2 separate regions of the Mus musculus genome follow, and region 1 is reported to be linked to region 2. The links are microRNA targets in miRTarBase. Many come from high-throughput screens and were not tested one by one. Region 2 holds a microRNA gene; the other region holds the end of a gene's coding sequence.

Region 1 (3,407 bases), not on the chromosome of region 2:
TAAATAAATAAATAAATCTTTAAAAAAAAAAAAAAAAAAAAAAAAAAACAACCTGGAGAGGGAATGATTTTTTTTTTTTTTTTGGCTCACAGGTTCACAGCACAGCCCCTCATAGAAGGAAGTCAGGACAGGAACGCAAACAGAGCAGGACCTGGAGGCAGGAGCTGATGCAGAGGCCATGGAGGGGTGCTGCTTGCTGGCTTGCTTCCCACGGCTTGCTCAGCCTTTCTTACAGACCCAGCCCAGTAATGGTACCACCCTCAGTGGGCTCTCCCCTATAAGTCACAAATTAAGAAAATGTCCTAAAGGCTTGCCTACAGCCTAGTCTTATGGAGACATTTTCTTAATCGAGGCTCCAACGATTCTAGCTTATGTAGGGTTGACATAAAACTAGCCAGTCCTGGTGGGAACAAAAAGATGGGCATATAAAGGAGACTTGAATTCTTTAGGTTGGAAGGATGTGGTGTAGTGAAGTCAGAACTCACAACTGAGCGCACATGCCCTTTGGCTCCCACCTCACTGCAGCATCTGCTTGTCCTTTATCCTTCTCTACCCACCCCAGACCATGTTATAAATGAAGCCAGCCACTGTTAGCCCTGCTCCTTACTGAAGAGTTCCCCCTTGATCTTTGGAGTCTGCTTTCTTTCCGCTCACTGACTACCCCCCCCCGCCCCCCAACCATGGTTCCACATCAACCTCTAGGAGAACATTAGATTGGACAGAGAGAAGTCAGGGAAATGTTCCAGGTGTCTGATCTCTTGAATGTTGTCGCCTCTCTGGTCAGAAACTGAGCAGCACCCAACACTGTTTCTGCCACTTCACCTCTTGGTTTAGCCTGGGCATCTGGCCAATCAGAAGCCCCCATTTCCATTGCTTCTCATTATTCCCTCCTTCGAGAGAAAGAATGGGGATGGAGGAAGCTATTGCTTCCGAATTTATACAAGAAAGGAAAGACAAGGACTGTATGGCAGGCTACCTACTTTTCTAGGTCTCAAGAACACAGGCAAGCCACACACAGCATGTTTAAAAGGAAAGACAAGACAGTTAGTGTATAGCCCACTTATTTATTTTGACGGGGCAATATGATCACATGGTTCCAATCCATGATGTTCAGAAGGGCAGGCAGAACCTGATTCCCTCTCAGCTGTCTTCCTCCTCAGAGGTAACTGGTCTTACTCAGTTCTCAAGGAATGCAGCAGAAATAAACAAATGTACACTTATCGCCTACTCATTTTTAGCTTTTCTTTTGTCTTTAAAGAACTCTCTTTTGGTTTGTTTGTTTTTGTTTTGCAAGACAGGGTTTCTCTGTATAGCTATGGCTGTCCTGGAACTCACTCTGTAGACCAGGCTGGACTCATGCTCAGAGATCTGTCTACCTCTGACTTCCAATGCTGGGATTAAAGTCATGTGTCACCGTGCCAGGCTGAGTTCTTTTATTTTGTATTTATATGTATGTGTCTGTGTGAAGGTATGTGCATTAAGTTTAGGTGCCCCTGAAGAGGGCACCGGCTCTCCTGGAGATAGAGTTATAGATTGTTGTGAGCACCTTAATAAGGATGCTGGGAACGGAATTTGGGCCCCTTGCAAGAACAGTGCACACACATCTTTCCAGCCTTTCTTCCATTAACTACAGTAATAACATTAGTTAACAACGGGGCTGGCCAGACTGCTAGGGAATGATGTATCTGTTGTTTTGAGTCATGTGTGTACCAGCCCCTGTCCAGGTCTCAGCAAAGACAAGCAGCAAAGAGAAACCCTGAAACAGGTCCCACCAAGGCAGATCAGACTCAGGCTCATTTGCATGCCTGCTTCTGATTGGGCAGACCCCATCCTATCTCACTGTCCCGAGCTGGCTCCTGCAGGCTACTGCACAGAGACCAGAGCCATTAGTGGAGCAGAGCCATAGAATAAAATAACCATTCGTCATAATCATAGCACCTCCATCTTCTTGTAAAGAGGGCAAAGCAGGGCTACCGCAGGGACAAGCCCTACTCCTTCCTGATATGTGACGAACGTTAGGAGATAGAAAAGCCTGGTCCTCTCCCATGAGGCTTTGCATTACATCTTTGAGATTTCCACAGACTCGGGTCCAGGAGAAGAGACTGCAGTTTGAGAATGAGGGCTCAGAGAACTCTTAGGACGGACATCGCTTTTGGACTGAGTAGGAATCCTAGCATGTATGAGCAAGCAGGAACTCCAGGAAGAGGGGAGGGAGGGGGGAGGGAGGAAAGGAGAGGGGGCGGGGAGGGAGAGGGAGAGAATGGAAATGAAAGAGGCTTAAGTAGGAAAGGGATGTAGATGAAGAATCTGTGGATGTGAGAGACTCAGAGAGACCCTACTTTGGGGGTCTCTAGAGAGTTATCCTCATTGCAGAGTCCTCAAAGCTATCATAAGCTTTTAAATGAAAGCCAAATAGGGGGTGCGGTGGGGGTGGGGAAAAGGAGCCATATTCAAAGCAAAACAAAACATAGCCATTACTCCAGGCTCCAACAAGGCTATTCTCCCAAGGCAGGAACTCAGTACAGGCACAACCAACAAAGTTCAGTGTCCCTGTGCATCAGGTTTCCATGGGCTCAGGATGCTCCAAGCAGAGAGGGAGAGACAAGGAGGGCAGCAGAAGAGAGAGGGGACATCAAAGATGTGGGGACAGAAGGAACCAGATCTTCAATCGAATTGCTCTGTGTACTGCCCGGCTGTTGCGCTACTTCCCAGCTCTTAGCTAGATTGTCCATCTTGGGGACACTTAATGGCGTGGGGAAGTGAGCACATGGTCTGAGCAGGAGCGAGGGAGGGATACTTAGAAACAGTTCAATTGTCTCTGTAAGCAAAGCCCCCATGGGAGAAGGCAGGAATTTCGGGGGCACAGGTGGCAGTCTGGGACAGGCAAGCCAAGGGGTTAACCTCACAGGCCGTGGCATCCTGGCCCTCCCGGAAATAGATGGAGTCAGCAGAATGAAAGGAGGGGTCCTCGTCAAAGAAGTTATACGGCCGGAGGAAGAAGCCCACTGAGTTCCCCGCAGTCACCGTGTTGGGGATATCTTCTGCATGAGGGATGTGCAAAAAGCCAGCCGTCACCCAGGCTACCAAGTCCTAGCAGGAGAGAGGAAATGAGGATGGTGAGGTTGGCCAGACACACCCTCTCTACACAGCCGCCTCCCAGGGAAGAAGCTATTCACAAGACCATAGATCTTGAATCTTTTTAAACAGTGTCTCTTTTGGATGTCCCAGAAGGATAAACATTAAAAGCTCATTGCATATTGGAAACAACCACTGTCTCCCCGAGGGAGGCTGGCTTGCATCTCCATCTCTCGTGCTTCCCATTACAACACCTTTCACCCACCCACCCAAGAGGGCGCTCACTACAGGCCACTTCGGCTTTCCTTCCCTCATTCTCTAAGAGTCCTTAA
Region 2 (3,407 bases):
AAGGTTAGCTTGATGATACTAAAAATTGTTTTGAGATTTGTATATTACAGAATATATAGCCTTGGTGAGTCTCCACTTGAACTTTGGATGTCTTGGACTTTCAGCCAGATCCAGTCAAGACACAGACATCAGAGACTAAATCATTGGTGTGGCCTTCTTAAGGCCAACCAACTCTATTTTCCCTACCCTCCCACTCCCTTAAAAATATCTCAATGCCCATATTCAGCTTGATGAAGTTATGAAGAGTTGTTGCCCCAGTTCCCTGGGCTTTGGGGCTGTGGGGGGGCTATTATAGGTTGTCTTTCTAGAGAATATAAAAATGGTCATAATTGGAATAGGGAGAAATAGCTAGAATTGATTGAATAGTCATAATCTCATTTTGTAGAAATCTTTTTAATTGTTACTAAGTTGAAGTCATAGTTGCTTATTTTGGTACAGAATTTATTCTGATGCAAAATCAAGGTTTTCATTGGTATAAATTTCTTCTATTGACACAAAAAATTTAAAAGTATAGGGCTTAGACCCAGTCCTCCTGTAACTGTTATTATAAACTGATCTGAGATGATTAAGCCTGTGAGTTAAGGGCCAAATAGCAAATTCATGGCTCTGAGTTTATTGTTAGGGTGTTTTCAGACATTTTAATTAGAAATAGCTGAGAGTAGTTATCAGAGAACAGTCCAGATTACTTTATATAGATAGTTGATTTTCAAAAATGTAAGAAATCCACAGAATGTGATATTTAATGTTATTTATTCACTTGTTGTTGAGACAAATCTGCTCCTAACAGCTTCCCATTCCTGGATTCAAAGAAGCAACTGAGCATCTTACCTCCAGATGAGGTGATACATTGTAGCTAGGTAGCCACTGGGCAGAAAATTGTCAGTCTTTCCTGCAGACCTGTACTGTTCTTGAAAGGATACAGTTTACAGGTTAATACAGCTTAGTTCTGCTGAGATAGAATAGGGCAGTCCTTAATATTTCTGTATATCTAAGGTCTGTCAGATGATTCTGGGCCAGAAGGCTGAAGACATGCTCCATCTTCCTGACTTACAGGGGCTGTATAGGCAGGCAGCTGTCTCTACAATTTGTCTCAATTCTGGAAGTCCTGTTAGGCTTCCTATATATTTTCAGTTAATGCTGGTCATTCTCGGATTTCTGATGGGGTTGAAAAACTACTTATAGTCTCATAGTCAACCCAGGCTATTTACTTTGAGAGAATAGATTTGAGAGGATGGTTTTCAGGTGGCATACAATCTAAAGCCAGGATATAAGTCAAGATAGAATTCTAAGTCTTTTAATTTTGGATAGATGACAATGTTTGATCTTAATGGCATAAATGATGGACTGGGTATTAGGTCTATCTTATACTTTATAAATTACAAAATGGTAATAGTTGTGCTCTGTTTATATTTGAGAGAAAGGTTTTGTTTTTTTTTAATTAGAACAGAAAGGGGGAAGTGCTGTGGACGGGCCTGGTGTTGTTCTTGTGAACCAATCACCTAATGAATAAAGGAGCCAATCACTGGGAGAGTAGGCGGGACTTCCAGGTTGGAAGGACAACAAGAAGAAGCAGGAGAGAGTTAGTCCCTTTTGGAACAGGTCAGCAGAGGGGTAAGATGTAGCTGCTAGAGTTTCCCGGTATCATGGTGAATCCACAAGAATTCGCCACCAAGAAATCAGATTCAAATAAGGCTTATAAGATTAGGATTTTAAATTTTCGTTTTAAAGATTTATTTATTATTATATCTAAGTACACTGTAGCTGTCTTCAGATGCACCAGAAGAAGGTGTCAGATCTCATTACGGATGGTTGTGAGCCACCATGTGGTCGCTGGGATTTGAACTCAGGACCTCTGGAAGAGCAATCAGTGCTCTTAACCACTGAGCCATCTCTCCAGCCCAAGATTAGGTTTTAAGGGCTGGAGAGATGGCTCAGCAGTTAAGAGCACTGACTGCTCTCCCAGAGGTCCTGAGTTCAATTCTCAGCAACCACATGGTGGCTCAAAACCATCTGTAATGGGTATCTGAAGCTGTCCTCTGGTGTGTCTGAAGACAGTGACAGTGTACCCACATACATGAAATAAATAAATCAATCTTAAAAAAAAAAAGGTGAGGTTTTAATTGTTGTGCCCAGAGATTGAGTTACCATTGTTTCTGAGGAAAAAAGGAAAGAAAGAGAGAGAGAGAGAGAGAGAGAGAGAGAGAGAGAGAGAGAAGAAAGAAGAGAAACTGTGTCTCTAAACTTAATGCTATGGCTACAAATTATATTTCACCATCAAGGTGATAATTCTCAAATTCATATCTCAGCCCAAATAGATATGCTCAGCTTTCTATGTACAGACTGCCTGTGTCCACCTGTGGCCAAGAATAGCTATGAATGCAGCCACACACAAAATGCTAAACTTCCTCAAAACCAAATTTTTTAAAAATGCAATTGTACAATTCCCAAGCACAACTCTGCAGGTGACAATGGCATGTGTTAGTGTCAAAAGGCTGGATGCTCTTGACTGTTCTGCCCATGTACCTCCTTAATATCTATGCTTGGAGGTTAACTCTAAGACAGAGGGTCTGTGCCACCTACACTGACTGCCTGAGTAGAAACCCAGGTAGAGAATAATCTTTGAGCTTTCTCTCTCTTTCCTTTCCTTTCCTTTCCTTTCCTTTCCTTTCCTTTCCTTTCCTTTCCTTTCCTTTCCTTTCCTTTCCTTTCCTTTCTCCTTTCCTTTCCTTTCCTTTTTCCTTTCCTTTTTCCTTTTTCCCCTTTCCTTTCCTTTCCTTTCCTTTCCTTTCCTTTCCTTTCCTTTCCTTTCTTTTCCCTTCCTTTCCTTTCCTTTTCTTTCTTCCAGCTCACCGTTCAGGATGGACTGTGTCTCTCTAAGATTAATGTTGAAACCCACCCTGCAACACGATGCTGTAAGTGAGACTTGGGAGGGGATACGTTCATAAAGGTAGAACCCTAGAGAATTTGCTCTCATAAGAGGCCTAAGGCTGCTGTGTGTCTCTCCTGCCACCCAGGAAATGGCAAACATCCAGCAGTCTATAGCCTGAAAGAGTCTTTGGGAGATTCCAACCATGCTAGCAGGCAGACCTGCTTAGCTCCCAGAAATGTAAAAAGCAAAGTGACTTTGCTCATTAGCTACACACTTCATTGAACTTTGCCAAAGCAGCTTGAATAAACAACAGCAACAAATTGTACCAGACTTTCCTTTCAGAGTTTCGTTCCCAGCACACACATCAGACAGCTCATAACTGCCTATAGCTCAAGTTCCAGAAGATCTGATGCCTCTTCTGGCCCACAGTGGTGCCTGCAGGCTTGTGACACACACACACACACACACACACACACACACACACACACACTTCTTTAAAAAGAGACTCCTTTCCTTCATATTACAATCAAACTTTCTC

What was found. Region 2 holds the annotated microRNA mmu-miR-3473b (GGGCUGGAGAGAUGGCUCAG, at 1,916-1,935, shown strand). A microRNA usually pairs through its seed, bases 2 to 8, with sites in the 3' UTR of a target mRNA and lowers its output. Matches are read on the target gene's strand: a 7mer-m8 pairs with bases 2 to 8, a 7mer-A1 pairs with bases 2 to 7 and ends in A, and an 8mer does both.
Region 1: miRTarBase lists Aoc3 as a target of mmu-miR-3473b. Seed matches in the 3' UTR shown: 7mer-m8 at 1,347-1,353.

What each region holds. Positions count from the first base shown.
Region 1 is chr11:101,337,068-101,340,474 of GRCm38, reverse strand. Aoc3 (amine oxidase, copper containing 3) reads right to left here. Exons shown (of 4, transcript NM_009675.2): 4 at 1,045-3,090. The coding sequence ends at 2,809. Among named protein-coding and RNA genes, the nearest start is that of Aoc3, 8.2 kb to the right of the region's middle.
Region 2 is chr10:41,668,859-41,672,265 of GRCm38, forward strand. It overlaps Mir3473b (microRNA 3473b), which reads left to right and starts at 1,881; the gene lies at 1,881-1,935. The region is part of intron 9 of Ccdc162 (coiled-coil domain containing 162); the gene reads right to left.